Linked DNA regions of Astyanax mexicanus. The protein of the gene in region 3 binds, or shares a complex with, the protein of the main gene of each other region. Links are inferred from orthologs where the notes say so. Each region holds a gene or a part of one and is shown on either strand. Other genes may lie near its edges. The genes, in order: arpc1b, arpc3 and actr3.

Region 1 (10,829 bases), on a different chromosome or scaffold from region 3:
GGCTCTCAGGGCTTGAATGGTGGTTTGCTTAAGAGCACTCACCCCATACTCAAGATTGTGATGATGCAGCATTTCCTGTGTGATGTGCATTTTCTTTTCCTTTCTTTTATTAATTTATTTATCCCATTTTCTCCCCAATTTACAAGGACAATTACCCCACTCACTCATTAGGACCCCCCCTACCACTAGTAATACCCCAACACCAGCAGGGTGAAGACTAGCACATGCCTCCATTGATGCATGTGAAGTCAGCCACCACCTCTTTTTGAACTGCTGTTGATTTTTGAGCATTTCCAAGAAGCATCACAGCGCGCTTGGAGGAAAGCACAGCGACTCTTTTCTGATACATCAGCTCACAGATGCCTCATGCTGTGGACATCATCTTCAAGTGATGAGTGGAAAAAGAGCGCCATCTACCCACTCAGAGAGAGCAAGGCCAATTGTGCTCTCTCGGGGCTCCGGCAGCCGATGGCAAGCTATATGAATGGGATTCCTTTATTTCCATGATAGGGATTAAATTTTGTTATTTTAAAATGGAGATTTTCCACTGAAAGGAAAATATATTCTATGACTAGGTTTAGGCCCAATCCTATTTCACCCCTTGGCTCTACCACTTAGCTCTACCCCTTTGTTTTGTGTGTGAACGTCTAGGGGTAGGGGTGTCCTGATTTTTGTTAGGCTGGAGGGGTAGGGTGAAGAGTTATAGCTAAATGGGCCTTCAAACAAAGATTTTTTTAGATGCACTCTTAAAACAGAGTTCTATGAGAATTACTGGCAAGATTTAGTGGCTAGCTAGCTTTCTAACTATCCTGCTCCTACTTTTTAGCAAAGAAAAGGTACTTTTACTTAATTACATTTTTTCAGTACTTTTTCCACCTCTGGTAGAAGGTGGATAAGAGCTCTGCAATTTTTATAAGAAAACTGCTGCTTTTTTACTGGCCACTCATGCTTTAATCTTATTTTAATATATTTTGCTCAATATGACTATGGTCTGGCCTTTTTACTCCAATCTTGGTGACGCTACAACATAATTGTTATTAGAAGCCAACCGATAACATTTATGCTTATCTTTCAAGCTATTGTAAGTATTGAAAATACTGGTGACATTCTTTCTTACATAAACAAACATGCAAAAAAACACAATGGCCAATATGGATGTTATCAATGATCCTAGACTTGAAACAGGGAATTAAATATGAACTAATTTAATCTGAACATCAGGGGAGAAAATACCCATTCTTCTCCCTGTTTACTGAGCCACTCAAATGCATTCAGGAACCTTCAGAGAAAAAAAAACACCAAAAATGTTCTTTCTGAGCGTGTGATCTCCAAAAAGTAGTAGAAAAAAAAAACACACCAACAAACCCGTCCTTGTTCTTCTGCAGAGCCAAAACAAGGACAGCCAGCCTAGTGTCTGTTTGTCTGTTTGGAGCGACTACATACATCTACATTACAAATGTGAACATTCCCAGTGAACATTAAGCTTTAAAGAGTGAGTCCATAAATCAGAGAAGCTTATGAAAACCCAGCAGCCGCCTCCTGCTGCGAGTCCTGCGGAAATACCTGCAGATACCTGGCCTGGGACCAGACGCTCCAGCCTAATGTAGCAACCACATGTTCCAGCATCTGCACCAACACAGGCCTGCCTATAATCCATGTTCTGTGCAGGAGTGTGCCATATTTCCATCGGCTGTTATACATTATTATTATATAATTAGTGCTACAATATTATCTGCTGTCATACATTATTATTAAAAAAATATTTAGCTAAATTTTCACCTTCTGTCATTCATTATTATTATTACAGATTGTAATAATATTTATAATTATAATAATTACAACATTATAACAGATTTAAAAAAATATTATCTGCTGTTCAACATTATTATTATTACAGATTAAAAAAAAATATTATGTGCTGATACAAATTATTACAGGTTTTTAAAAATATTATCTGCTTTTAAATATTATTATTACAGATTTAAAAAAAAAATATTATCTGCTGTTAAACGTTATTACAGGTTTTTTGTTACATTATTGTCTGCTGTTATACATTATTATTACAGATTTTAAAACATATCTGCTGTTAAACATTATTATTACAGATTTTTTGTTATTATTTGCTGTTATACATTTTTATTTATTAAAAAATATAACCTTCTGTTATATATTATTACTAAAAAAATACCTACTGTTAAACAATACAGATTTTTACAAATATTATCTGCTGTTAAACATTATTATTACATTTAAAATATATATATATATATATATCTGCTGTTAAACATTATTACATGTTTGTTTGTTACTTATTATCTGCTGTTAAATATTATTATTACAGTATTATCATGCTGTATCTGATAAAAAAAATGACAAAAATGTAATGTTTTTGTTTTATACTGAATCTATGAAACTTTTATATTAATACTCAATGAAACCACCATTATTTTGTTGCAGTAAAATATTTTTTAAATTAATAAAATATGTTTTTAGTCCCATCACCAAGAATATCTTATTACAACATTGAAACACTGAAATATTGTGATAGTATTTCAGTATAGTATAGCCCCCCTCTCATGCTAGGGTGGACATCTTTGTGATTTTGAGATGTTTAAAGGCCTTCAGAACTCTGGAAGATGCTCTACACAAGAGCAGCAGAACTCACGGGTTCGGTCCTTGTTCCAGGCGTGGCAGCTGATGGGTTCCAGTAGAAAGCTGTGGTAAGCCATGGTTCAGGTCTCTGCAGATCAGATACAGCAGCAGATAAGAACAAACTGAACACCTTCAAACCTTTAGCATCTGCTCAAATGTTTAAAAGAGCACATCCAAGTAACCATATCTAAATACTTTTTTATTTATTATCTATAATTCAGTCCACACATGGATTTTGGGAGAACTTTTCAGCATATTATAGCTTTTAGAGGTTTTGATGGATGGAAGCATGTGTCATCTAAAGTCTCAAATTCTTCATACATTTGAACATTTCTGGTATATTTTTATTGCACAAAAAAAACATCTACTTTGATCTTGGTGAGAACACCTGCTAATTAGTTATATCTGTGTTAAATTTACAAAAAGAAAAAAAAAATCAAAAAGTGAGGCCACGCTTCTTCACTTCCGCAGAAATGAGAACAAGAAGCAGCGGCTCTAAAAGGAGAACTTTCTGAACTTCCTTATGTAGTCAACTCCATTGTGTTTGATCTACATGTGAACTAGGGGTGTGCCATATTGTATTACACAGTATAAAATGTTATAATTTATTTAATTTATGATTAAATTAGTTAATAAAAAAGAACAGTATATAATGATTAAAGCAATATTTGATCTTGTAATCAGTATGGTTTTTTTTGTATTTACAGTGGAGCTTTAAGCTTTTTACTTTTTAAGAGTATAATTGTGTTTGTTTGCAGTTAATATGCATGCACTAAAAATTCGGCACAGATTTACAGATTTTTTTCTGTTTCTACTGATTGTTTGAAACTTGTCTTTATACAATAAAAACAGCAAAAAGTTTATTGCCAAGAATATCGTTAATGCAAAAATAGCCCTGAAATATCATGATATTATTTTGGGGCCATATCGCCCACCCCTAATAAAATAAACACATTCTTTCATGTCTAGCTCAAATTTAGATTTAGTCTAAAACGCTCCCAGCCGGCCTTTGGAACTAAACTTCCTCTTTTTCCCCTCTTTCTCTCTCTCTTTTGCAGTAAATTAAAAGCAGAGCAGAAAGGAATGTGACGTGAGGTCAGACAGCCGGATGACAACTGCAGGAGAAAAACACATTCAACACCTTTTCATCTCAGACTTTCCATTCAGAGCTCCCTCCCTGCTCTAAAGAGCCTCTTACGCCTTCTAAAGTCTTCTCAACAGTTCATAAGAAACAACAGTTTCCTCCTCAAAACCTCTATTTATAGCTGTATATCTGGGAACAGTTATGACATTGTTATGCAAAGGCGTAATAGTAGTAATAACATGTTAGTACATGTTAGTTTCGCAACACTTGAAGCTCTGCATACACACACACACACACACACACACACACACACATATATATATATATATATATACATATATAGAGCAGAACACGCCCTGCAGCAGCTAGCTGAAAGCCTGCACTACGCTTCACATAAACAGAAAAATCTGTTCATCTACTCACCCTGGAAATGGTTAAACGGGAAGTTTCCCTGAGATCTAGCAGATAGGAAGAGGTGGAACAGAAGCAGCCTGAGTTCGTGGACTCTGAGCAGTCAACACAAACGCTGGCTCGGCTCTCAATGAACTCAACTATTTCCTTAGACCTTTTATATACGTAAAAAAAAAAGAAAAAAAAAAAAGAAAAAGAAGTGTTCTTCCCCCTTCCTGTTTGAGACACTTAACCACTTCCTCGTGTGGGCGGCTGTCTGCAAACGGGGCCAGCCTTCTCTGTTCAACTCCTTTCAACATCCTGCTCAGAGGCATGTATAACATAAGCTACTCTCGCGATCCTTCATCTGCCGGTGTGTGTGTGCTGCCTGTACAAACACAGTGAGTCCAGAATGTGCAATGTGAACACTAAACCAACTAGCAAACCTTCTATTCGCTGTGGATGGGTGAGTGTTTGGCATGAATTGAGGCTGCAGTTAATCAAATATCCCAAAAAGTTGTGCAACATTCAACAGCAATACCAAACATCCCGAACGCGAGCATTAAATGCATTCATTAAATTAATAATAACAACAAGTCACACAGAACGAGACAAGACACTACATTCCCAAATGGTGTGTAGTATACTTCATTTATTTCTAGCAGACCATTTACATAAAATTCTCCTTTAATTTAACGCCTCTCTGGTTCCCCAGAACACCAAGATCAAATGTCAGACTGCTGGAGCACCAGCTTTGGCATAGAATTAAAAAAAAAAAAAAAAAAAAAAAAAAAAGCCCCCAAAAAAACAAAACAAAAAAAAAGACCCTAACCCCCTTTTCCATTAGTGTTTTTCCATTTTTTTTTTTCATTTGTTTCTTTTTAAGAGTGTCACGTCAGCTCACACCACTGTTCAGTGCTTTTTTTTTTCTCAGTTAAAAACTTTCAGAAGTGTTATCAGAAATCTCCTTGTTAGTCTTCAAGCTGCATTGCCTGCGCTGCGTCGTGCTAGTTCAGAGTGAGGTCTTTCACATGATCCGTAGGCCTTGAATAGAGGACTCTAAAGTCTGAGGAGACAAAAAAAAGAAGAAGAAGAAGAAGAAAAATGAGAAGAAGATCAAATACAGTGAGCTGTTGAGCTCAGAGCATGTTTCTTACGCAAGATTGAGAAATGACTGCAAGGAAAACAAAGATTGTTCTATTCTAAAAAAACAAACGAGCAAACAAACAACAAAAAAAAAGAGATGCCAACAAAAGCACAACAAACAAAAAGGCAAACCTTAAAGTCCCATATGGTCATTGCTCCATCGATTCCTGTAGTGCAGAATTTGCGACAATCTCTTTTGTCTCCTTCATATATAGACACTTGGCTGCAGAGGAAAGGCAAAGGAGATTACTTACAGATCAGAACAAATTTATATCAAAACACTGAGAAAAATAATGTAAACCCCTCCATGAATTTAAACATAACCAACTTATTTGTTATCTTATCCTCAGTCAAATAAAATCAAATGCCAACTGCCACAACATCTGAAGTGGAGTTGTACATGTGATATATATATTTTTTTCAGCATGTGATGTTTGAGTAGTAGTCACACAGCAGGATGTTCAAGATCACTTAAGTAGAAATGTAACAGTACACAAAATTCCACAATTTGGTGCGATTCTGCTACGAAAAGTAGAGGCAAAAATAAACAGTAATTGTGCAACTTCCAGTATGCTCCAGGTACTTTTATATATTTCCCTTGAGGTATCGAATTTTTTGCACTATAAGGTGCACCCAAAATCCTTTAATTTTTCCAAAAATAGTCAGTGCGTCATATAATCTGGTGCACCTTATGTATGAATTTTAGTACAGCGTTATACAGGAGTTTCAGTTTAGTTCTCCAGCACCGAAACTGGAGCAGTATTAGCATTAGCCCCTAACCGTAATAAGTGCTATCTTTTTTACTGTTCAGAGGGGAGTATTATCGGCCTGTAGCTTACTGCTAACCCCGACTAGCACTGCTGGAGCAGCATTAGCCGCGGCTTACCAGAACACTCAGGATTCCTCAGTGTAGCGCTGTCGGCAGCATTTACTAGCGCTAACTGCGGCTAACCTAGTGGAAATCTGCAAATCTAAGCCTACTGTAAATAAATGGAAGTGCATTTCTTGCCTAGTTTTCAGAAGATAAATCTGTGTAGATTAACATCCTTTTTTATTTTTAAGAATTACAGTTGTGTTTACTTTGCTTTGCTCTACTTAACTTAGTTAACTACCCCCACCTGCAGTGAGACCTGCTGAATTAGAACCCATGATCCTTACTAGTGCTGCATAAAGCGCTTTATAATCCAAAAATACACCAGAAAATAGACGTTCACTGATAGTGCGCCTTAAAGTCTGAAAAATATGGTGAGCAATACAGTCTATACTGCATTTAAACAGCGAAATGTAAACAGTCACAGTGGTCGTATTCTTATCTAACCTGAAATACACATTTTATGTTTACTGTTATAAAATACAAAATTGAATACAATATAAAACGTTTTGCAATGAGAGGAGTGTTATAATTTAATATAATTTATATTTAAACAAAACTTAAGTTCAAAGTTTAAAGAATTTTGTCAGTACAAATCAGCTAAAGTTTTCTCGTGCAAATAACTCACTGTGTTCATTGGTTATCACACATTGGTATAAACGGTGTGTACAGTGTATTCTCCTCTGCAACTGCACAAACCATGACCCCTCTACTGATAATTCATAAAGAACACATGTAACCATTATACCCCTACACATTAGGCAAAGGCAAACACACCACACTACAACCTTTTTGGCAGTTGGTATAAAATGGAAATATCCAGGCCATATCTACTATAGGTTGATTATACATTGGCATGCTAGAAGTCATGGGAGAGCAGTACACTGGAAAGGCAACGTAAAACATCAGTTTGAGTGAGATCGGCAGTGAGTGCCAGATGGATGGGACATTATATTTCTAAATTGTGCAGACATTTACCAATTCTAGGAAAACTCCACAGGTTAGAGCTGCTTCCTTTAGCTTACATGGCTACACAAAGTGCATTACCAATAGGGCTGGTTATCGTTTAAAAATGTTCAGTACTGATACTGATACAATACTTTAAATCTGGTACAGATACCCAAACAATACTTTTTTCGATATCTTTTTTTAATTGTAACTAAAAAAAATATATACAAAAAGCGATAATTATTCTCACAAAACATGTTTAAACTATCACTGTGAGAGACTACCATAATTTTGGATCTTGTTGGTTGTTTGTGGCGCTTTATTAAGAACCAAAACAACAGCGTTACTACAAATATTTTCACTAAGCATAATACTGGATGCATTTCAGTTCTTTTAAAAAAATATCTGCATTAGATTGGCAAAACTAAATTATTTTTATTAGAGTGGTGTCAATCACTTAAAAATTAAATATCAAGTTTCATGCTAGTTCCCTGTATTATTGTGAGGGAACAGCTAAAATAGTGTAGTGTGGTTTAGGTTTGGCAGACTAGATCATTTTTTATTGTATTATAATATCTCAGGGTAGAGGGGAGGACTGCGTGAGAGACAAAGCGAATGAAAATGAGAGAGAGACAACGTGAATGAGCTAGAGAGAAAGAGAGACGGCGCACAAGAGGTCAAGCAAGAGACTGTGTTTCTGTGCGCGTTTATGCAGGTTTAATGCAAAGTATCGAAAACAGGCACCAAATTTTTTTGGACCTTTTGGTACTCTGTAGTACCGAGACATTTTGGACCACTGTGTCTTTATGGTATCAAATTTCGATATCCAGTCCTAATTACCAATTTCATGACATGTTGGATCTGTGACTGCAGTGATTGCAGTGGAAAAACTGTTAGTTCTGTCAATATTCTACAGGCCTAATCTGAAGCCAGTGTCCAAACACTATTCAGGACCACGACCAGGGCATGAGACTTACGTGATGCTGTTCTGGTGAAGGGTTTCCAGAGTGCTATTGCGGTCCTCAGTGGTGGCTCTCTTGTCCATGTTGCGGAAGCGCTCCATGGCAGAGATGTTGCGCTGGATGCTCTGCTTTGGAATGTCCAACTTGGATATGAAGGTCAAGGTTCCACCATCATCAAAGCTGAACAGCATTGGGCAGCAGTCATGACCCTTCAGAGGAAAAACACCACTTTAAAACTGAATCCTGAGACAAAAATGACAATAAAACCTGAACCTGTGCTGTAAACTGTAACCTGCCCTTACCGCTGCCACAATGTTGTTCTCAGAAACGAAGGTGACGCTCAGAAGAGCAAGGAATTCTGTTTTCAGTGGGCTTGGCCTGCAAACAAAAGGAAGCAGTCTTTCAGAAAAAAGGGCCAACAAAACAAATCTGAAAACACACAATGTTTTCTGAAAACATAAAAAAATGCAATCATATTAAGATTCTCACGTTGAGCTTTTTGTGGGGTCCACCACAGTCACAGTGCTGTCATGGCTGACCCAGGCCAGTCTGTTCCCACTGGCAGAGAAACAGACACTGTGGACCCATCCTCCACTGCCTGCCCCACCAAACTCTGCCATCACCTGCCCAAACGGCATCTTGGACCCCCATGGAGTTGGAGCTGGCTTTTCATCCACCTCCTTGATGTATGCAGAAAATACCCTGCGAAAGAGATAGATGTCACATGACTATAAGGACACAGACAAAAGTCCATCACTGTTCTGAAAAGCAACAGCAGCCTGTTCAAATAAACATGGCATTGTCTGAAATAGATGCCAAAGATCTTTCATGGTTTTGTTCGAAATCAAAAGGTATTAAAAGACTTTATGCAGTTTTTGATGAAGTAACTGTCTCTAATTTTCTGGGGATGTTTCTCTTAGATTATAGGACGATGGATGATCACCACCTGATTGGATAACCTTTAGTCCATGTGTGGCATTTGACATGGTACCAATAGCTTTGTGTTTATTTGCTCCAGACAGTCTTATTCTGTTGGCTTCTCTACAGGGACTAAACACACAGTGTGCATTTGTACATCTGTATCAGCAATTGGTGTAACTAACATTTTTTAAAGGAGTGTCCACAACCATTTGGAAATATAGAGTAAAACAAATATTGTTATTGTCACTGTAACAAATCAAAATCAAATTTATTTGTATAGCACATTTTACAACTGATGTCATAAAGCAGCTTTACAGGACAAAGAATCAGAAAACACTGAACCCTCAGTGAGCGCTGGGGCAACACAAAAACCTTGTATCTCTGATTATGCCACTTTTTTATTATTTGACATACTCTAAAACTTCTTAAAAAGTTGTTATAAAAATGTCAGTTCACTTGGCCGGGCACTTATGTCTGTTTGAATGGGGGGACGGGACAGGGGCTTTCCTACCAGCATGCTGACACTCCTACAGTCTACACACAAGAAGCAGCTGATTGGCTCTTTTTGTTAAGGGCAAGACTTTTTCCATAAACAGGAGCAATTTTTAGCATTACAAGAAATCCCATTCATACATCCTCACTAATAAGGTCTCTGCTTATAATACTTTTTTTTTTCTTTTTTTTCTGTGAAGCTATAAGGAGAACCTAGACTTTACACAGGAGTGATATGATTGCGAGTAGTCACGTGCCCATAACGGGAATAGCGGACTCTCAATGAAAATTCCAGGTAACCGTGAGACTCAAACTTACCTGCATTTAAAGTCACATGACCCAGCTGCCAGAAGTACATTGTTTGGATGCCAGTCAAGACTGAGGACAGTGGAGCGGATAGGCTTCTTGATGTGTTTGCTAACCCACCTTTTTAAAAAACATAGAAAGCATATTTATGCACAGAACAGCTGCAATGTGATCTGTTTTAAACTGAAGGCTCCTAAAACGTTCACTAGAAGCTCCAATTCAGACTCACCAGTCATTTTCAGACTCAAAGTAGCAAACAGATATGAGGCGAGCTCCACTGCCCACTGCAAACTTATTCTCCAGTGGAGACCACTTCACAAACGTGGCAGCACGGTTGATCCTGAGGATGACAAGAGTGGGCTTCCAAACGCCGTCCTTCTGGCTCCACACGTAAGCATTGCGATCCGCTCCGCAGGTTACAATCCGATCGCTTTTAGGAGCCCAGTCAATGCCTAAAACAGTTGTGCAACAATGATGAGCTCACATCAAGTCTAGGGTCATGTTTTGTCAAATGTAATGATGGGACACACTACAGTGCTGTAAAAAAAAAAATATCACCTTCCTAATTTCTTCTATTTTTGCATATTTGCTACATTTAAATGTTTCAGATCAAACTGCTTATTTTAATAAAATATAAATATAAACAAAAGCTAAAAGCTTTACTGAGCTTTCTGATGTTTTATTCCCACCTGGATTAAACTTGTCTTGTTTGAGGAAAGGACAGGATGTGTTAATACCTACTTTTTTTTGCACTAATCTCAGTGACTATCTAATTATTTTAGTCCCATTCAGATTCATATCATTGTATTTCCAGGCAGATGTTGCTTCACATAATTCTTTGGACAAAGGTTTTTGGCCACTATTATCTGCCATATTTAGTCTCAGAGTGCATGTATGTGCTAAACACCTTAAATTAATCAAGCTTGGTACCTGGTACTTGGTTCCTTTTTAGTACCTGCCTGCAAGTGGTTCCAAGTGAGCAGAGTAAGACGTGAGATGAAACTGTCTGCATTGTGCACTGTGTTGAACCAATCGTTTACTGCTGTTGTGAATGTGA
Region 2 (11,053 bases), on a different chromosome or scaffold from region 3:
AGTTCGGTATGGAGGACGAAAAATGACAAGCATAAATAAATACATGCACATATAAATAAATAAATAAATAAATAATAGTATAGGTAACTTAATTAATAAATATATTTTGAATATCATATTAGGAATCACTGTTCATATTTCCATGCGTGAACCTTTATTATTCTTTTTTTTTTTTTCAAAATTTCAACATTTATATTCTGTTATATTATTCCCACATTTCTTTATTTTATTTATGTATTATTTATTTATGTACGTATTACTATATTTCTTTATTTATTCATTTCTGTATGTATCAATCAATATATATGTATTAAACAATAAATATATAGATAACAATAAATGCAGAAAAATACAGAAACAGACCCAAATAAAGTGGATGGAAAGTTAATGGAAACATGATATAGTTGATATCGTTTTAAGTGAGTGCTTTTTTCATAAAAATGTATTTATTCATGTATTTACTTGCCTATATATTTATTTATTTTATTTTATTTATATGTGCAATTATTTATTTACAATTATGTATTTTTGTGCACTGACTCGGCAGCGCTCTCTGGTGGGTATTCGAATCTAGAGAGATTGGCGATTCTCTGAACGCTGTAGTTTTTGATACTCTTCGCTTTCCGTAGTTCTGACTGGTCAGCAGGCAGCATGGAGGCAGTGGGAGATTAGTGGTGTGGTGTTTACAGTCAGAGATAGAGATATGAATACAGTTACAGAGATATTTCTGTGATTTCTCTCACTGTACTGTAATATAAATACTGTAATATATTCTGTAATAGTGGAGAACTGCGTTATTCAGAAGTTATAAAGCTGTTTATAGTAACTTAGTTAATAATGCCGCGCTACGCTCAGCTGGTGATGGGACCCGCCGGCAGCGGAAAGGTAAAACTATTAGATCAGAGTTTAATATAAAACTATCAAGCTAAATTAAAGCTGTTAAATCTGATTATACTGCTTTATTTTAGTGTTTTATACAAATCTATCCCTATTAACATACATTCAGTATTTTCTCTGGCTACCGTCACATCGCAGGAGTGTAAATAGGATACTAAATTAATATTTAGAGCTAGGAGTGGGCCCTAAAATAATATCACGATATTTCATGGTATTTTCGCGATAACGAAAGTCTTGGCGATATGACAAAACACTGAATAAAAAAAATATTATTATTGTATACAATATGATATTATATATGTTACCCCTAACTGAGATATTAAAAAATGTAATGTAATGTAATGTAAAAAAAAACACAAGAATTTTATCAGATTTGTAACAGAAGTCAATGATCCAAAATGTCATGATACTAATAATAATGCGTTCCAAATATCTCCATATATCCAGGATATATCCAGTAAAATAAATGATACAGAACAGATATAATCTGTCTCTAGTAGATATACTATTTATATATAATGTGAATAAATAAGATAAAACTCGAAATCACTTGAAAAGCTTAATGGATGACTGTAAATTAAGTACATTTTCACTTACAGACACTTACAGAAACATAAATAAGATTAATCCCATTTAAATAAACACAGAAAGAGAGTGGTTTTTGATTATTATTTGATTATGCTGCTCATTTTAATAGTGAACTACTCTGCTCCTCCACAGAGCACCTACTGCTCCACTATGATACAACATGCTGAAGCCATCAGCCGCTCTGTGCAGGTGGTGAATCTGGACCCGGCAGCAGAACACTTCGACTACCCAGTGATGGCAGGTAAGACTGGAGACAAATCGACCAGCAATAAATCCAGAAATACTCAGAATTGTACAAATGATTGTTTTTATTGTTAATGTTAATCCAGGTCAGTGGATGAGGAATATAACACAATGAAAATGATATTTGGTGCCACGTAACGATAAAAAACAATATGGTCAAAATGATGCGATATATTGATATATTGTCCCGCCCCTAATATTAAAAGACGGCTACAAAGAATCTTGTTGTTTTCTGTTGTTTTTGTAATGGTACAGATATCCGAGAGCTGATCCAGGTGGATGATGTGATGGAGGACGATTCGCTGAAGTTTGGGCCGAATGGAGGACTTGTGTTCTGTATGGAGTATTTTGCGAATAACTTCAACTGGCTGGAGGAGTGTCTTGGTCATGTTGAGGATGACTACATTCTTTTTGACTGTCCAGGTAATTCTGAAATTCATTGCCATTAATCCATTATTAAGATTATGGTAATGATAATTGTGAAATAAAATTGTGAGGAAATTCATTAATACAAAAAAGTGACTTTAATGGATGTTCTCGCCTAAAACTATTCTTATTTATGTCTAATTTGACCCCATTTTTACACAGTTCCTATCAGCTGGACCACTCAAAGCCCCTAGACTAAAACTATTAACTATTATCCATTCTTTTATTCTATTTGTGTTTTCATCAACATCTGTGTTCTCTTTAAATCCACATTATTTATTCCCATGTGTTTTTTCCTCTCTGGCTGCAGGTCAGATAGAGCTGTACACACACCTCCCGGTTATGAAGCAGTTGGCTGAGCAGCTGCAGCAGTGGGAGTTCCGGGTGTGTGGGGTCTTCCTGGTCGACTCTCAGTTTATGGTGGAAAGCTTCAAGGTAGGAAATTAATATTGTTTTTTGAAAAAATAAAATAACAATCAGGATTATTGCATTTTCAGCTCAAAAACACCCTAGAGCAGGGGTTCTCAAATGGTCCTTTATTTTTCTCCTGGTCATTAAGTTACAACCCACTTTAAATTCAAACCAAACTAATTAATAAAAATATAGCTTTCAAAAAGCAGTTTAAACATGCATATGCAAGCAAAGTGAATTTTCAGAGCACTTCAGAGCATTTAAGAAACTAAGGAGGTTCATAATAATTATATGTATAAAAGTTACTACTATTAGGTTAATATTAAAATTGCACGAAATAAATAATAAATAAATAAATAAATATTTCACTTCTCTGCATATCTCTGCATTGAGAGTATATAAAATACAAAAGAGTACAAAACCAGATGAACATAAATTATTTTTAATTTTAGATTTTTTTTTTATATATATTTACTTTTACAGTAAGCTTTTTATGACACGCCCAGAACGTGCCCACAGCCCACTTTTGGGTCCTGAACCACCAGTTAAGAATCACTGCTCTAGATTATCAGTTTCTAGCAGTTTTTTGTGATGTAAACTTCTGTATTGTCTTTAAAAGCAAAAGAAACACACTAATATTTTTCATATTTAGTCAAAACTCAAACTTTTTAAAACACTAAAATTTATTTTTTTTGTCCTTATGTATTTATATTTTTACTTATTTTAATCATTTCTTATTTCCCTATTATACCATTTTATAAATCCTTTTTAAAATGTATATGAATAATGTGAAATACTGGAAAAGGGAAAACGTAAAATTGTATTTGTATTGAATTACATTGTACTATGTAAAATAAATAAACAATAAGCCAAAAAAACATTACAATTTGGATGGTAACATATCTTAATGTGTGACTAAATAGATGTTATTTAGTTTAAAAAAAACACCCATCAGAAATGCTCTGTTTTCTAGTTTATTTCAGGTGTAATGGCGGCTCTGAGTGCCATGGTGGCGCTAGAAATCCCTCAGGTCAACATCATGACCAAAATGGACCTGCTCAATCCAAAAGCCAAGAAGGAAATAGAGAAGTAAGTTTCCCAAAGAGTGTCGGTCTGTATTTGACTGTATTCGTGTGTAAAATCTGTAATAAAACACAGATAAATATAATGTTTTTACTTCAGGTATCTGGATCCAGACATGTACTCCATGATGGAGGACAACTCTACAACCCTGAGGAGCAAAAAATTCAACAAACTCACTAAAGCTATCTGTGGTTTGGTAGGTTTACAATGATGCCTGTTTTTGTATTATATTTTATTAAACAATTAAATAGATTTTTATGGAACAGAATATTTTATTTTAATATGTACATTATAATATGTAAAGAGTTGTCTGTCATTGTATTTTGTTTTATTGAAACTATTTCTATTATTATATCTATTTTTATGTAATGCAATTGAGGAGGTAGGTAGGTCCCAAATTTTATATATTTTATATGTAAATATGACATAAAATACATTGTATTTTAAGAAACAGATTTGTGTTTGTGTACAGATTGATGACTACAGCATGGTGCGCTTCCTGCCCTTTGACCGCACAGATGAGGAAGGCATCAACATTGTTCTACAGCACATCGACTTCTCCATTCAGTATGGAGAGGACCTAGAGTTCAAGGAGCCGAAGGTAAACACGTTATTTAATTTGTCTTTTTAGTTTACCGTGTAGATTATCATGTGGTTGCCAGGTTCAGTAAAAAATATCCAGCCAAAATAAGTCTAAAACTTGCCCTTCAGAAGCCTAAAGTAGCCCAATATCTAAGGTTTAAATGCAGTTGATTTAAATACAAAGGCTTTAAAGGTGTATGATTATTTCCATTTATTTTTCATCATTATATTACTTAACAATTTCCCTTTTTCTTTAGGAGACTGAGGAGGAGCCTAGCAACACAAATTATGATGAATTCTTTCAAGACAAAGTGGATTACTAGACACTTCATCATAGAAATACAGCCTGTTTGACACATAACAAGACTAAAAGTCACAGAGATGCAGTGCTGATGAAACGGGCACTCAGCAGCAGGGTGCTGTGACCCTCCCAGCCTGGAAGTGAAGAGCACCGCTGCAGGACATGAGGAGGAAATGTCGGGCAGTCTGAAGAGTCTGAAGTTCCTCAAGAATCTAGTTTCTGTGCGTGTGGGTGTGTGTGCATGTTTTCAATACAGACTGCATAATTATTATTCTCCTAATTTTATTCTTCCTGTGTTTCCTGTCTGTTCCTACACTCTTTAAGTATGGGATGATGCATTCTTACATTCTTAGAGCTGTATAATAAATATTTTTTCAATAAAATATTTGTAAAAGTTTATTACATGTGTTCTGATGGTTGTTGATCTGAAAAATGTAATGTTTAAATACAAATTACATATACATAAATAGGTATGAATTACTACGACATGACAATGGCCATACTATATACAATTATGTATGATTATATAAATATATATATATATATATATCAGTATGTTTTTGTTTAATATGTGTTTGATGGTTTATAATGATCTACAAGTATGGCCAGTTTAATAGTGTGTGAATGAACATTTCATGTAAACTTTTTTCATGTTAAACTATTTAATATACCACAGTGGATCAACACCAGCAGATGACATGACTCTCAAAACCATCACTGATCATCAGTAAATTTTACATTTTATTTAAAAATCAAGGGAGCAGAGTCTGGAGGAAGAGTGGAGAGACACACAGTCCAAACTGCTCGAGGTCTAGAGTGAAGTTTCCACCAATCAGTGATGGTTTGGAGAGACATGTCTGTCATCTGCTGGTGTTGATCCACTGTGTTTTATTATCAAGTCTAAAGTCAGTGCAGTTTTGTTTTCCCACAAAATCTTACAGCACTTCATGCTTCCCTCGGCTGAAAACAGCTTTTATGGAGATGCAGATTTCATTTTCCAGCAGGACTTGGCACACTGCCTACACTGCCACAAGTTTTCATTGGCTGTAAGACATAATCATCACCAATAAAATAAATAATTTCATGCTTAAAATAGATCATCCTGTGTGTAATACTGTAAGACGTTTATGTAATATATGCGTTTCACATTTTAAACTGAATTACTGAAATAAAGTAATGATATTTTTAATAATATTATTTTTTTTTTAGATGCTCTAGTTTTAGTATAGTATATGCGGTTATCTGCCCCTAGTGGTCAGTATGGGAACTGCAGCCCAAGCTCTTCCTGTATAGCGGTTGGGTGGGACTCACAGCGGAAGCGGCGTTTTGCAGCGCTGACACTATCCATATTTTCCTCACCAAATCCCGCTTACCTATCAACAAAATGCCGGTAAGAAAATGTTTAAAGTCTCTTTTAATAGAACGTCATATTAAAACGGCTTTTAAACAGTATAATCTTCGTTTTCGGGTCTTTTTCTGAGCCACGGTAGCTGGAGCTGATGGTCAACCGAACGAAGCTAGCTGCACGGCTAGCAGCTTCCCGTCCCTCCTCAGACATTTTCAGAGAATTTTAGCTGGACTTTCTGATTTTAAAGCTGATTTTAACGTGTTCTGTTTGTTTAAAACACCTGCATGTGTTTTATGAGTCTTAGAGGTTTGCTGGTATCGCATATAAGCAGTTAATACACATTTTTTTTAGGGATTTAGGGAGCTAACCCCAGCTAACTAACTAATACATAGCTTTAGCTTAGCGAATGTATTGCATTGGTAATGTAACCCAGTGTAGTTTCAATACTGTAACGCTATAACTAGCTATAGCTAAGGCTGTTGGTATTTTTATTTGCTTTAAAAACACATTATTGCATATTTAATAGATTTAATACTAATTCCAACGGGTTTTCCTCTTTTTTTTTTGGATTATCAGGCTTACCACTCCAGTCTGATGGATGGCGACACCAAGCTGGTGGGGAATATGGCATTACTCCCTCTCAAAACACAGTTTAAAGGCCCGGCTCCAAAAGAAAGTGAGTTATTATTTTAGTAATAAATGTGTTTTTAAAAATACATATGCTGGCTGTGTCATGTGTCCAAGCCGTAGGGCTCCAGCATTACTTCCTTAAATGGTTGCGAACTGGCTGCACTACTAACTACATCACCATAGACTCAGATTCATCATCTTCCTGTTTTCTATTTTGACAGCCAAAGACCAAGATATCATCGATGAGGCTATTTATTACTTCAAAGCCAACGTTTTCTTCAAGAACTATGAAATTAAGGTACGTACTGCAAGCCTGCAATGTACTGCAATACCCAGGAAGTAGCTGAAGGACCCAGGACTGTAAAAAATGCACTCATGCCTCAACCTGCATTCTTCTAAGATCTGCCTCTGCAGCCACCTTCAGTTTAGCCTGCACTGGTGCTGTATTCGCATGCTTTTTGTACAAAAAAAAAAAAAAAAACACATAAGCAAATATGCAATCAGCTGTTCTTTACTACTTTACTACTCTACTTTACTATTTCATGGTATTTTCGCAATAACAATACTCTTGGCAATATGATAAAAAAACTGAATTAATATATATATATATATATATATATATATATATATATATATATATATATATATATATATATTTCAAGAATACACTTCTGCGGCAAAATTTTAATTCCATTCTATTATTGCATACGATAGAATATGACAAACCCCTACTATTCACTGATCACAGTATGGGAAAGTATCTGAGTAATGTTTTATTAATCTTTCACTACTGATGCTTTTTGAATGTAATTACATGTATCATAATAAATGCTGTGTATTGTTAAAAAAAAAAAGCAGACATGTTATTTGCAAGGCGCTATAGATGATTTTTTTCTTTAGTCCAGCTTTTTTTGTCCAGTCCAATATGGCAAAATATCCACGACACACACATATATTTACATTTACTGTTACATGTATGGTATATAGCTGAAACACACAATTTTAACTGGTACTGTAATTTATTATGGTAACAGTGAAATACAGTCATGCCTTCATATAATCACATGTAGGGTCGCTCTCTGTTTTGTACTCTTTTATGTATTGTATTGTAAGCACATACGTCTTTTCTAGCAGTAATTGTTTTATTTGCTTAATTTTTATTAGAATGAAGCTGACCGAACATTGATCTACGTCACCCTGTACATCTCTGAGTGCCTCAAGAAGCTACAGAAGGTGAGTGTGCCTGGAGTAATAATAATAATAATAATAATAACAATACAATTAAATTACACATACTCAGTTCCTATTGTACTTCCTGTAAACAATGGTTTCTCTTCAATACCATCCTGAAATGATAGTGGTACTTCTATACAGTGGAGATGGTTCTCACATTTCCATAAAAGCCCTATTAGGAAATGTAATGGACTACTTAAACGGCGATAGATAGGTGGGAAGTATTATATATTTTATTTTATCATTATTTTCTTATCGTAAGTACAAATATAAACTTTTCAAGCATATTGAGGATTTCTTCAGTGTTTAAAAGTTACTGGCCTAATTGTATATTTATAGATATATATTATAGAGAGCATAATTAGTCAAGAATAACTGGAAGTATTGCAGTAAATTGTACATAAATCTTAGTATGGGAAAATTGTCTTTAAAAATAGTGTTATTATATTTGTATCATGTCGCATAGCCCTACTATCAACTATTTGTTAGTATGGATACACACACACACACACACACACACACACACAGTGCAATGGACAAGTGCTTGCTTGGCTGAATCTTATCACAAAAACCCTCATCGTAATGCCAGGTGTAAACCGACTCCAGTAATACATGGGCACGTTATTATTGTTATATTGTTTGTGGCCTCATCATTTATGCTGTAAATTAAAGGGTTTACTGATACATGTAACAAATACATCCTTCTTTATGTCCTGCAGTGCAGCTCAAAGGGTCAGGGAGAGAAGGAGATGTACACGCTGGGAATCACCAACTTCCCCATCCCAGGAGAGCCTGGATTCCCTCTGAACGCCATGTACGTTAAACCCTCCAACAAACAGGAAGAAGGTACGAGATAACTGCTGCTTCAGTGAATGAATGAATGAATGAATGAAGTTACACTTAAATAACGCCTTTCTAGAAACCAATGACACTTTAGAATTTACACATTTTTACACACAACCCTTTATACTCAGCACTCATCCATACACCGGCGAGAAGCAGCAGCCAATAGAGCACAGCGTACTCTCAACCGGAAACCACAGTCCACCTGGAGGACTGCATCGGCCACTACAGCATTTTACAGCAGAGTCCATATCTAGGCACACAATTCCCTACAATACATATATAAATTAATTTAGAGTATTAAATGTTTCTATTTTTTATGTAACTATATCTGTTCTATCTGTCTATCTGCAGTATGAGTAATCAATTTGAAATGCCTTCATATCAGTGTCCGCTCCCTTTCTAATGTTGACCAAGTGATTGTTGATTGTTTTTATCAGAGACGATGAGGGCTTACCTGCAGCAAATTCGCCAGGAGACCGGCCTCAGACTGTGTGAGCGCGTGTTCGACCCACAGACAGACAAACCCAGCAAGGTAAGCATATATTGTTACACACACACACACACAGGTTTCAGGCTGGTAATCACAGTATTATAAATCAGTGGCTCTCAAGCTGTGATACACAAAGCATTTCAGGGTAGTACACCAGATTACTTCAGAAAATTAAATGAATTTACAAAAAATATTTAATAAAGTTTTTACATCTAAGGTTTGTTTGTGTTTAATGTTTAATCTGGTAGACCCTGTATGTAAGATAACACTTTTACACAGTTTTTTACAGTTTCATAGGCCTTACAATTGATCTCTGTGGAACTCCATTCACAATAGTCTCTATTAGTAATAACAGCAAAATAATTAGTCTGGGGTGGAGCCATGTAGACTCTGTAGTCCACTACATTCTCATGTTATTTCCCACTGTCTCAAGATTTCTCAGTAGGTATACTGCATTTACAATATACAATAATCAGTAATTTGCAGATTGGCTAAAGTGCCAATAAGTTTTTTGGTTTAATCATGGCGCAACATTGCTTTAAAAAGTTTGAGAACCACAGTTATAAATCATTTTTCTGAGCCATAAGAGAGCATTTAGTGTAAAAAATAATTCCAGATCTACAAACAATACAGCTAAACATAATTACAGTTTTACAGAGTTCAATTCCATCAGCAAGTCACCTGATTTACCATTACTAAGCTCTGATTTATGAAACCAAATGTTAATATGATGAGAACTATAAATAATACTCAGACTAAGAAACAAAAGTTTAAAAACACCACTTTTTTATTAATATTTTTTACATATATTCTAATAATGTTTTTAACATTACTAACAAGTACTGATCAGAAAAGCAGCTTTTTTTTTAAACTTATCTTTTTCACATTACTGGTAATTATATATTATATATATAGTTTTATTTTTTAATGTTATGCTTCCAGTGAAATATTAGATAGTACATTAATCACATGTTTAATGTCTCTGCTCTTTTCACAGTGGTGGGTGTGTTTTGTAAAGAAACAGTTCATGAACAAGAGTCTGTCTGCTCCTGGTCAGTAGGAGGCAGCTGGGATTTTCTCTTGGTACTTTTTACACGGCGTGGATGGATGTGATTGGATTATTTTTCCAGTGTCTGATGTTTTCCTTTATTTTTTGGGGGGAGGGCAGGGTTCCTTCCATTGGATCGATGTAAGATTAATTTTATACTGCAGATTTGCAAAATTCCAACATGTTTGATTTCCTTTCTGGAACCATACACCATGTATGCAAACTTGAGGCGATCAAATAAAATATTACAAAATAAAAGTTGTTTATTTTTCATTTATTCACAGAAATGCTACTTGCACATATTTGTCTTATTTTGGGCTGAAGGTGCTGAAGTTGACTGTACACTCGAATGATGTTATAGAAGACAACTTCAATAAAATAAAAATTGATTTTAACAAATTGAAAATCTCTGGAATATAATCAAGAGGAAGATGGATGATCACAAGCCATCAAACCACCAAACTGAACTGCTTGAATTTTTGCACCAGGAGTAAAGCAGCATAAAGTTATCCAAAAGCAGTGTGTAAGACTGGTGGAGGAGGACATGATGCCAAGATGCATGAAAAAGAAAACTGTGATTAAAAACTAACCAGGATTATTCCATGTTCATTTTACTCAAACATATACCTACAGATAGTAAAATCAGAGAAACCGAAGTGGTCTCAATTTTTCCAGAGCTACATATCTATATATTGTACAATAAGTTGATAATTACCTACAGCAATGGGACTAAATAATTACCCTAATTTAACAACTAAAAGGTGCGTCACAATACTTTGAGGAACGTTTGAGGAATTGCAGTGAAACAAGTCAAAACTGAAACTCATATTTAAGTGCAATTCTAACATGTAGCACCTTTTTAAGAGTTGCTTATTGCTGTTAATGGATTGCGTTTAGAGTTGTGTAGCTTCTGTAACCTTCCTTTAA
Region 3 (11,717 bases):
TCTTAAATTATGTCATACTTGAGGTAAAGCTGTAATGTTGACGTGTGACTGATATACTTTGGTAAATTAGATCTGTAGCTTGCTGTTCCTCACATCTGATGCCTTTTAGTAGATGGATTTTGTCTAAACAAATTATTTTACAGCAGGTATATTTGTTGTTGCATTATGATCTTAAATCATTCATGTCTTAAAAGGAAATCTGGACTGTTAAATTTAGTATATTTTAAAATTAAATATTGTGGGTCAAAGAACTGAAGCATCAACCAAAGCTAATTAGGGGTGGGACATAACTTATTATTAAAATTTCTGATGCATTATTGATATGTGGCATCAAATATAGATCTTTTTATTTAAAAATAAGCGCTCTGAACTCCCTAAGACTTGCCCCTTAATAGAGTTACTACTGTTAAGCTGCATCGCAACTCAACATAAAAATAAGATAAACCTTCAACGAAGAATATTGATTAAAGAAATTCTGTGAATCTGGCACCAATAAAATCATAATTCCAGGTATTTGCTTATTTAGGAGTATTTTATCCTCTTCAGTAACACAGAAGCCGTAAAGTATCATAGAGAATTGTCTTGCGATATATAGAGATCATTACTGCAGCCAAACCATCGTGAGATGACCCGAGATCCCCCATCTCTGATGCTAATTACTGTAAAACTGATCTTGGAAAATATTTTAAGAATTTTTGCAAACACTTCACACATGCACAAACACAGCACGTAAAGGACAGTGTCCATGCAGATTAGACAATAACAAAGTCCTATTATTGCCTCAATAAACCCACTGCCCTTGCAAATGCAGCTGCAGTCTCCACAAACATGCCTAATGTGCTCAAATTTTACTATTTAATATGCTTAAGAAGTTTATCAATCCTAGTTAAGAAGAAAATGTAAATCTACCACATCTCAAACGCCCAGTGGCAAATGCTAAAAAAAGAAAAAAAAATCACAATTATCGGCACTCTGCTTTGATAAGGGTGGATGTGATGAGAGTTGTGGGGTTTTTTTTAATTGTGCAGACCCTAATCAACTTCCTGTATTGTGTCTTGGAAACAACATCTTACAGTTCCCTTTAGCTGGCTGTAATCAAGCAGCGCAATCAAGCTCAAAGTGGTTAAATTGTTCTTTTGTGTACAAAGCATACGGTACGTGCTTCAGTGTGACAGTATACTCACTAAAGAGTTGTTAAAGCTGTTTTCAGTTGCACCAGCAGACACATAAGAACCAGCATCAGGAATCTGGAAAAGAAAAAAATGCATTAAACCATACCAGAATACTAAGATTTAAATAATATTTTAAAATTAGATTGTATTATAACAACACTGCTATTTCAACAGTGGTCAGTGTAGACTGTTAAGGACAGTGATGACAGTGACTGATAACAAGGTTGTGAGTTCTATACCCAGATCTACCACACCTTTAATGCTGGGCCCTTGGGCAAGTCCCTTAACTCTGGCCCTCTCATCTGATATTGCAATGTGGTTTGAGCAACTTACTATCAAGAACAGAGTTCTTGATCACTGTGTGTATGTTTCTTTAGGGTGTATGTGTGTGTTTACTGCACAGATGGTAAAAAGACTGCCACATTCCCAGAACAAGTACCGTATTTTTCGTACTATAAGGCGCAAGTAAAATACTCTAATTTTCCCAGAAAATATCAGTGCGCCTTATAATCCGGTGCTCCTTATGTAGGAATTTTACAAGTCAGGTTGTAAGGAGCAGTAAAGCCACTCTACTGAAGCGCAGCTTTATATAGGAGTTTTAGCTTAGTTTTCCAGCAGTATTAGCGGTACCCGCTAAGCGCTAGCCATTCGGCCATTCAGAGGTGAGTATTATAGGCCTGTAGTCTGCTTTTAACCCCGGCTAGCACTGCTGGAGCAGCATTAGCCTTACAAGATATCTGTGCTAGCCATTTGGTCGTTCAGAGGTGAGTATTATCGGCGTGTGGCCTGCGCGTTTACCATGTTAAAACAAGCTACGTGGGATGAACCGCTAGCTAATATCACCCTGGCTTTCCAGAACACTCAGGCATCCTCAGTGTAGCGCTGGCGGGCGGCAGTTAGATGGCATTAGTTGTAAGCCACTAATGCTAATGCTCCAGCCTTAGTGGAAATCTGGAAATTTTAGCTTACTGTAAATAAATCTAAGCATTTTACTCACCCAAATAAACAGTTTTCAGGAGTGAAATCTGTGTAGATTAATATCCAGCTCTCGTTTGACTTGTCTGACTTACAGTTTTGTTTTATTGTTGTCTATAATCTGGTGCGCCTTGTGTATGAAAATAGACCAGAAAATAGACGTTTATTGATAGTGCGCCTTATAATCTGGTGCACCTTATAGTATAGTGAAGTCTTTGTTTCTGGGAGGCACAGTGGCTTAGTGGTTAGCAGTTTTGTGCGTTTTTCGTGAACGTTGAACTGAACGCAACACATTTGTTAATAAAGAACTTGAACGTGAATTAGTTCACTTTATGTTTCATGAACGGCAGACATCCCTGTAAATAAACGTTGGAATTTGTTTTCCATTGAAAACTGAGTGACATCTGTTTTCTCTTTTGAAACGCAACAAGAGAAAGTTCCTCCCTCCTGTATTCTCGCTGGAGGAGCAAGTGCGCGAGAGAGAGAGCGAGAGAGAGAGAGTGACAGACCAATGACGAGAGTGAGAGAAAGCGCTGCAATTTGAAAAACAATGGCTAGTGGAAGTGATGGGATGGAGACAGACACCGATTCTCCTTATGAACACTTAAAACACTTTGTACTGCTGTTTCATCACCTGGTAAGAAACCCACAATTGCAGTGTCATGAGCAAATGTCTACAATGAGCAGTTTCAAAGAACGTATAGTGATTTCTAGCTTGTAGTGTGAAAAAAAAAGCATTTATTTGAATATCTCACAAAAAAAGTAAAATGAACTCAACTTTGAACTAGTTCAGAATTCAAATCGTGAACTTTGAACGTGAACTGTTCACTTTGAGCATGTATGAACTGAACTGGAACTAGTTCAGAAAAGCTGTGAATTGGAACAACACTGGTGGTTAGCACGTTTGCCTTCCAGCGCTGGGGTCCTGGGTTCAAGTCCCATCAGTCACCTTGTCTGCGTGGGTTTTCGAACGGTTTCCTCCCACAGTCCAAAAAAACATATAAGCAAGTAATTTATTTTTGCTGAGATATTTCCAAGATGTGTTGCCCAGTGCTTATCCTGCTTCTGTTTACAGTGGAAATTGACCCACAGTTTAGACATTAGGAAAAATATCCACATTTTTTTAACCAGCCTACCAATGGATGTCACAAACCTTTACCATGTAAGGATTACTTATATTAAAAATACAAACTATCAAAAGCAAGACAAAGTTATCTGGAGAACTCACGAGGCTGCTGAGCTGCTGCTGATAACGAGCTGCACACTGCTGCCTCCATGGTTTCCAGAAGAGGAATCCAAGTAAATACAACACGAACATGGAGGTCTTCACAAAGGTGCTGAAGAACGGCTTACTGTACTGCTTCTGCACAAAGATGTACTGAAACACACAAACAAACACAACCCACGTAAGGAAGTCATGTATTTCATCCATTTTGTTTTCCAGAACTCAAGCCAGTGAGTTTATCTTTAATTCTGATACATACTTATAAAATATGTTCTTACTACCTCAACCCTTTTAAAAATTAAACAAAGCACACTTTGAAAAGACAGCCCTATCTGAAGTGTACATAACACACTCTTAGCTCTTACAGTCTGAACAAATGTCAAGGACTAAAATCCTTTGCATATCTGAATCCTTTAGAAAGGAAAGCTTTTTACTTTTCATCTTTTTCTCACCACTTATAAATTACAATACATTAGATGTCTTAAGCTGGTGAAAGATGATTGGGCGATGAATAGAAAAGGGCAAGGTTATAACATCACAGCCATTATGAATTTAAAAGGGACTGCTTCTGTAGGTCAACTTTCATAAATGTATGGCCTGGGGAACGAAGAGCAGGTTTAAAGCATTTAGTTTTAATATGGACCATTTAACAATAATAATACTAAAAGGGAAAAGAAGTATAGAGCATAGCACATTATACAAGCATATTATGTGTAAATGTGTGTAAAAAATGTGTACTGTATGTAGATCTTACTGCAGTGAGTTCAGATGACGCAACCCAGATCACATCCACAAGCAGCAGGATGACCACGCCCAGCACCAGCCTCCTCTTCTGGGCACCACATACCCCCCAACTCATCCTACACATACACGCAAGCAATGGAGGTAATGCGTTATTTACATCTGGCTTATATGTATGCATTGCAAACAGTGTATGTGGGTAAGTGTTCTGCAATGCAAATATTTAGCACAAAACCAGCAACACATCCAACCCTATTGGTTGAGTGAAGGTCCTTACCGTGCCGGACGCATTAGAAACGGACACACCGGTCTCGGCCAGCCTCTCTCTCCACGATGTGGCACAAAGCCTGCATCACACAATCACTAAAAGCCAGAGCAAAGACCTTAGAACAGTAAAATAAATAAGTTATAATGTAAATAACCAAACAGACAGTCGTTTGCAGTTATTATTAATGACCATGCTACCAATGAATCGTGTCCATTTAAATCATGATTTCAATTAAAAAACGATTAATCGTTCAGCCCTACTGGCAGAGTTTGTTTGCTAACGCTAACGAGTAAGCAAAACAAGCTAATACACGCTTGTCTAGCACTCTCCTGCCTGGAGAGAAATTTGAGAACAGCACTTTATGGGTCTTTTTATCCAAGTAAAATATAAAAACAACAGAAAACAGCAATTATTCACTTAGGAAAAATATCCTTTTAAATATATTTATAATATAGCTTGAAGGATAATATTAATGCACACTGAATTTAATTTTTAACTGAAAAAAGAAGAGAATTGTGGTTTTTTAATACTGTAAAGTCTCTAATGGCTTCATTAATAACATATTGTAAATTGATGTTTAACTTGTGTTTTACTTGTGCAATAGAGAAATGTTTTTTTAATACCTTAAACTTAAAAGGTATTTTAGGTCAATTCACAGTGTTTTGTAAAAGAAAGGTGATTTTATGGGACAAAGTAAAACCAATAGTAATCAAAGACTTAATGTTTGATATTAGATATACTCCTAACAGTACATCAAGTCACAAACCAATATAAAAGCCCAGTCATGCCAAAACAATAAATAAATAAAATAATAATAATACTGTGATATACCATGAAAGCGACAGAACCTTAAAAAATACAGTGATAGACATTTTGGTCATACCGCCCCACACTAATTAAAAGAAAAAATACAATAAAGCAAATAATAAACTTACCAAATATAAAAATACTCACTAAAATGCTGTTACATTTACAACAAGAATACAACAAAATCACAGCACTATATAATATAGATATTATTCACAAACAAGAACATTACTTATCTACAGTAAGGAGATATGATAAAAATGCTAAATGAACAGTAATGCAATTATAAAGCTGTGCTACAGTAAAATGACTGTGAATGTAGACAGTAAAGTGCAGGGTTATTTCTGAGCTCTGGTGGCAGTTGGGGAAGAACGAGTTCTTTAACCTGTTGGTCTTTATTTTAGACTTCTTGACAGAGTAGTGAACAGAGGCTTGTGACATTGAGACTATGATACATTTTAATTTATAATTTTACCTAAATATCATTACACTCAGCTCTGTTTAGGAAAAAATCAGCTGTGTTTTGATAAGCAGCGCAGCGGTCAGTCAGTCAGAGAGGTACAGAGAGCAGAAAGCAGACTGGAGCTCTTGGTAATTCGGCTCCTCGGTTAATCTAGCTAATGTTAGTGTTAGCTATTAAACACTACATGTAGGTTATATGTAGACATTTAGCTACAGTACCTGCTTCAGTCGGCACGGCCTCGAAACCCGTCTTCATGCGTTTATCAGGCGAGGTTACGAACAATCTGCGGCTTTGTAAAGGATAATAACTCGACTGGGTGGTAAATATTTACATGAGTTTTATGAGCTCGGTCTCCTACTCATGACTTCACTTAGCGCATCAGCATCATGGTAAATGTAGTTCCTAGTTCTGGTACTCTGTCCTGTAGCTTACGTACTAAAACTTCATCTCCCAGAATGCAAAACAGGCGGAGCAACTATTTGCAAGTTTGGCGTGACACTTTTCGGTCGATTCACCATCTGATAAATATAACCTTATATCTCCACTCTTATAAGGAACAATTTACTTTATTTACTGCAGTTCATCTAACAATGATCTAACAGTAATGATTCTGCATTCCTACGAAATTAGGTGGACTTATAGGATATGCCAAAAATACAATACAATACAATAAAAAAATTGCCTGAGGTAAATTATTAAGTAAGCCAATGAATATGTGTGAAGAAACTATAAATATGTGTGGTGTGAGTTTTATGAGATTTTGTATTCTACTTTATATATAATAACGCATTTTAGAACCATTTTTACAAAGAGATTTTTCATGTAAGCTGCATCAAACATTATTATTATTCGAACTTCCTGAAAACTAATTGGAACTCCTTTTCAAAAAGATTCGAATCTTTTAAACGGATCATAGATTCAAACTGCTTTTTTATCGAATCTTTCAGAAAACTGGATTTAGACAACTTTTTAAAGAATTACATTTTTTCTGAAAATTGATTCGAATTACTTTTCAAAAAGATTGTAATCTTTCTCCTTAAAACTGATTTGCAAAAAGATTTTAGTTACTTTAACGAGTGTTAAACGTGAACTCAGATCTGTTATTTGACTGTTGGCACCTTATTTCTGTCTGTACAATGTTTGAATTGTGTCTGTTATGGTTTTATCTTGGAATAAAAGGAGAATTTATACTAAAAACACATTTTTAAGGTTTGAGCCATAGACGTAGACAGACAATCTATGGTTTGAGCTGACACTCGCCCCTCTGTCTGCCTGTAGGCGTCAATGCGCATGCGCCCTCCGTCCCCCCTCCTCACCGGCGACGGCCATTTTCTCTCCGCTGAGTGCCGACCGAGTGCGGAAGTGGCTGAAAACTTAAGGGTTCCGCCTTTAGATTGGCCGCTGACCACACTGTGCTGCTCTTCTGGAGGCAGAAAGCTTTAATACCGGCTTCTAAAACAGCGCAGAGCGGAGAAATGGCTGGGAGGCTGCCGGCGTGCGTTGTGGATTGCGGCACAGGGTGAGTTTTCCAGCCGATTCCACAGTGGCAGTAGCAGCAGCAGCAGCTCTGGGTGTGTGGATGTGGATGTGCTCTGTTAGATCTATTATCTTCCAGTAGAAACCCGCTAATATACGAGCCTGTGGTCGCTTTTCCTGTAGACACGCAGCTCTGCTTTTGTCCACAGTGGACGGGGTGTCAGAACAGCTCTGCTGCTGGGGTGGATGAGGAGCCTGGGTTTGGGTGGTGGCTGTGTGCAATGCTAGGTTAGCTAACGTTATGAAGCCTGGAATGGGCTTTCACTGGCGAGATGTGTAGCTACATATCATCAAAACGCTTCATTCCAGCTCATGTTGAACATGCACACATGTTTACAGACTGCGACAGTAAGCGCAGTGTGCGGGTTTCCAGGTTTTATCAGGTCAGGATTCTCCTAAAAACCCACATTGCCTGATAAATTCTGCAAAACTCATTCTGAGTGGCGCCGCGCATGCGCAGTCCAACTTCCTAATTTTACTGACAGTCAGAGCCGCTTCCTGCTTCTCGCTTTTTGCTCCATATATGGTCGTGTTTGACGTTTGGACGGGATTTTAGTTAGGTTAGCTGTGTTTTATTCTGTCCTGCGGCAACAGACCGTGTTTAACCAATGGTAAAAGGGTCGGTTTTGTGTTTGTAGTTTGTAGTGGTGTTTCTGAAACTGAACTTTGCGCTTGGTTTTGGATGCTGCTTCTCCTCAGCACTGAAGCTAACCTAGATAACAAACCCAGCTAACGGCTAATTCTATCAAATATACAGCAGCACCAACCCCAGCCTTGTTATACCCAGCATATATAGCATTGTTATAGTATTTAGCTGCAATATAGCTACCTGACAATAACACAACCACATTTTATACCTCCACCTTATACTGCTCTGACATACTCAGCACTAAAATAATATCACAATATCTCAGGATATTGCTGTGATAACAAGAGTGACTGTTTGCAAGTTTAGCATGACTGTAGAGAGTGAAGAAAAACATTTATATGTCCAAAACTATGTTTAATTAAAATGTCTTTTTAAAAGGATATAATTGCTTTGTCATGCAATTGTACACTGTCTGGCCAAAAAAAAGTCTGCACCTGGATTTAACTAAGCAAATGAATGAGGTCAGCTGACTACCTAAATATATTGAATATAGAGCAGGTTATTCCATCAATGGATTTTTTCTTTCCTGATTGCACGAGCATATTCCAAGATGACAATGTCAGGATTGAGCTGGAATTGTAAAAGAGTGGTTCCGGGAGTATAAGATCAGCATTTTTACACATGCATTGTTCACCACAGAGTCCAGACCTTAACCTCAATGAAATATTAGTGTGTGAGCTTTTTTTCAGCCAGGCAGTGTAATATCACAGTATCTTAGGATATTTTTGCGGTAACAAAAATTACTGTTTGCAAATGTGTCATAACTGCAGTAGCTGGAAAAAAGTATATATTTACCAAACTGTGTTTAATTAAAATGTTGTATTTAAAGGGTATAATTGATTTTTTTTTCATTATGTAACTGGTCTTAAAATGGCAATAATATAGTTTATTAAAATAATTTTGTGACAATATATCATCCACAAAAATTATCATGGAAGGCCTATCCCTAGTTGAGATTTTCAACAGATTGTAACAATAAGTAAGTCAATCATCTAACATGTCAAGATACTAATAATGCACTCCATATACCCAGGATTGAAGTAAAATTAATGATACTGTACAGATATGCTCTGTCTCTAGTCAATATTTCATGGGAAATGAGAACAGTGTTATTAAGGTCTAACCGTTACACGACCTTATTATATTATTACACCTTATAACCAGCATTAACACTCTTTTATCACTTAATTTTATTTTAATACCGCTTATACACTCTATACCTGTTGTACCCTTAATATTAATTAAACCAAACTCTTAACTGCATAGTCATCCTTTATACTACTATAACTGCTGTTTTTCTCAGCACTAAATAAACAGCATTGTTTAGCAATAGTTTTATACCTCAGTCTTATTTTCCCCAGACATACTATGCCCCACACTAATAAAGATTTTGTACCACCTGTGATTATACTTTCATGTTTATTAAACTCAACATTAACAGCAGACACAACCCTATTATATGTAGACTTATAGCTTTTCTCTCCATATTATGCTATAACTGCATTATACTCTACATTTATACATCATTTACTCAGTACTCAGTACTCAGCAGTAGTACATGGTGTATAGCCATATTATTCTATTAAGCCATCATCATTTACTCAGTACTCAGTACTCAGCAGTAGTACATGGTGTATAGCCATATTATTCTATTAAGCCATATACTCAGCATAAGCGTATGCATAGAGATTATACAGCCTTATTGTCCTGCTCAGCCTTATACTGAGCTTATAAAACCGTATTATCCTGTCCAGTCTTATTATTCTCAGCACTAACAAGGATCGTTCGCAGAGTTTGTATTTGTTAAACAGTATATGATTGCTGTCTTGCAAATCCTTGTATTTCCAAAATAGCAACTTCACAGGAGAATTTTTTTTTTTCATTTTTAATTAAAGTAAAATTAAATTGTTTTATTCCAAGTAATTTTGGACCATTTTATTGCTCTGTCAATATTATTGTCAGTATTGTTCATTTGAAGCTACCACTTTTAAACTATGCCAAATACAGAAACAAATATGAGCTTTTGGCGCAACAGCAGCAATATTAAAACGCATCCTTATATATTTAGTGACAGTACTTGGCTCTGCTTGACTTCAGCTGTTGCTAAAGGGCCTCTTTCTTTCCCCTTTTCCTTCACCTCATCTCCCTTTTTGCACAATATAGATTTTATCTGTTCTCTGTAAAGTTGTTGATGCATATATACTTTTATACTGAACTTGGTATGTGGTGAAGGCTGTTCCCTCTGAAGTGTCAACATGTTGAGACTTGAACATTCCTCACTGCATACCTTTCCCTCCACCCCCTTCGCTTTGAGCCATTACAAGCATCTGTTCAGAGAATGGATGGGGAAGAGTAGGCTGTTTCTGTAGCACAGATGTGTGTGTGTGTTTTTTTTGTGTGTGTGTGTGTGTGTGTGTGTGTTTGTGTTTGTGTGTGTGTGTGTGTGTGTGTGTGTGTGTGTGTGTGTGTGTGTGTGTGTGTGTGTGTGTGTGTTTATGTGTGTGTGTGTGTGTGTTTGTGTGTAACCCAGTCTGAGATGTGTGAAAGCCTCACATCCTCTCTCTGACCTGAACTTCTCTGCATGGTCTGCACCACTGCTTTTTATAACTCATAACGCAATGGAGAAATTTGACCAGCATCAAATCCTCGTCATGTTGAGGCTGCTTCTGCTTCTGCTTCTGCTTCCCTCTTCAACTCTTGTTCTGAAGAGTCAGGGCTGGAGTAATGTTTGCTTTTAGTATTTTTAGTTTCCTGACAGTGCACAATTTTACAGATGTGCTGTAGTCGAAGTGTGGTGGTCACTTCCTTAGATAAATAGACTTATGTAGAGCTAAGATTTTTGGTCCAGTTCTGATCTAAAGCATGAATATTTTATTACACTTAAACAAACATTTTAGTGCAGCTTTCCATCCATTCCAGTCCAAAGCTAGTTTATTTTAACCTAAGAAAATGTTATCTTGACTGCTCAATCTTTTGAAAACTGACCTGCTCTGTTCACTGGGTGCTCTGTAGTTTGGTCTTTTAGATGCAAATGCTTTATAATGACAGGGGAAATATATACCTCACATCATTTGCCTGGACTTAAGATTGACCAGGAAACCAGCAAGGCCTTGTTCCTGTAAGGTGTGTTGTAGCTTATCAGGTGTGGTTGCTTGTTTTGGATTCAGGCCAGTCTGAAATCAGAGCTAAAGCATGCCTGTCCACAAAGACTCACTTTAATGCTGGAAATATAAGTGGTGTTCTCAGATTTGAGGTACTGAATGAAATATGCTTTACAATAAAGCCTAACTGGACTTTGTATTGTTTTTGACTGACTGAGATGTTTAGATTTAAGTTTAGGCTAAGTCATCTAGCTCTATTAGCTAGGTGTTATTGTATCCTGATGAACTTGGTAACAGTAAGCTTTACTAAGATTTGATGGGGTATGTTAGATTAATGATATATTTTTTGTTTAATACCTTTTGATAGTTTTGAAAATCTGAGCATCCTCGGACTGTGTTCCATTTAATTCAGTGTCGTGTGTCAAATCTGGGAATTATGTCGCACCCAAATTAACAGAATTACAGTTAAACATTCAGATAATTTCCAAGAAATAGTTAGTTAAAGACTTTGAGGTTTATCCTCACTGGTTGTACAGTCTTTTTGTCTTTTCTTTTTGTTGAATCCAGTAAAAATACCTGTTGATAACAACCCATTACACTGTATTTTGCACATCCAAACAATGTTAAAACATGTTCACAGATAGAAGTGGGACAGGTATGTTGGTACAACTGATAAAGTAGCACACAAATAGATTAGAAGTGCTATTAAACTCTATGAAACTTCTGCTTTAATTACTGTTGGTAGGAATGTTTCAAAATCTTCTATGGAAAAAAGTCTTT

Evidence for each region.
Region 1: actr3 (region 3) and arpc1b share a complex: the UniProt entries of both Homo sapiens proteins name them as parts of the arp2/3 complex. The link is inferred for Astyanax mexicanus from reciprocal best matches to the Homo sapiens genes ACTR3 and ARPC1B.
Region 2: the proteins of actr3 (region 3) and arpc3 are in contact, whole or in part, in a cryo-EM structure (PDB 6YW6), measured with the Homo sapiens proteins. The link is inferred for Astyanax mexicanus from reciprocal best matches to the Homo sapiens genes ACTR3 and ARPC3. Residues at the interface, in NP_005712.1 of Homo sapiens: Phe203, Gln206, Asp210, Arg211, Glu212, Leu238, Val239, Phe242, Asn243, Ile253, Asp270, Gly272, Tyr273, Glu286, Phe287, Pro290; in NP_001265485.1 of Homo sapiens: Tyr47, Tyr48, Lys50, Ala51, Phe54, Phe55, Lys56, Lys158, Trp159, Thr161, Cys162, Phe163, Val164, Lys165, Arg166.

The regions. Positions count from the first base shown.
Region 1 is NC_064410.1:54,827,413-54,838,241, reverse strand, and holds the start of arpc1b (actin-related protein 2/3 complex subunit 1B), read right to left. Parts: upstream 4,315-10,829; 5' UTR 4,160-4,314; intron 2,741-4,159; 5' UTR 2,730-2,740; coding exon 2,666-2,729; intron 1-2,665. Other genes in the region: arpc1a (actin-related protein 2/3 complex subunit 1A), read right to left, coding at 5,154-5,192, 5,405-5,495, 8,069-8,262, 8,356-8,431, 8,543-8,755, 9,785-9,892, 10,002-10,224. UniProt on the Homo sapiens protein: Component of the Arp2/3 complex, a multiprotein complex that mediates actin polymerization upon stimulation by nucleation-promoting factor (NPF).
Region 2 is NC_064424.1:45,964,145-45,975,197, forward strand, and holds arpc3 (actin-related protein 2/3 complex subunit 3), read left to right. Parts: upstream 1-5,770; 5' UTR 5,771-5,915; coding exon 5,916-5,921; intron 5,922-6,455; coding exon 6,456-6,555; intron 6,556-6,730; coding exon 6,731-6,807; intron 6,808-7,673; coding exon 7,674-7,742; intron 7,743-8,461; coding exon 8,462-8,588; intron 8,589-9,025; coding exon 9,026-9,120; intron 9,121-10,075; coding exon 10,076-10,138; 3' UTR 10,139-10,384; downstream 10,385-11,053. Other genes in the region: gpn3 (GPN-loop GTPase 3), read left to right, coding at 838-885, 1,618-1,726, 1,984-2,151, 2,465-2,589, 3,539-3,654, 3,748-3,844, 4,121-4,249, 4,488-4,553. UniProt on the Homo sapiens protein: Component of the Arp2/3 complex, a multiprotein complex that mediates actin polymerization upon stimulation by nucleation-promoting factor (NPF).
Region 3 is NC_064418.1:35,511,779-35,523,495, reverse strand, and holds the start of actr3 (actin-related protein 3), read left to right. Parts: upstream 1-6,972; 5' UTR 6,973-7,126; coding exon 7,127-7,170; intron 7,171-11,717. Other genes in the region: solute carrier family 35 member F5, read right to left, coding at 1,185-1,247, 3,376-3,525, 4,127-4,232, 4,391-4,404. UniProt on the Homo sapiens protein: ATP-binding component of the Arp2/3 complex, a multiprotein complex that mediates actin polymerization upon stimulation by nucleation-promoting factor (NPF).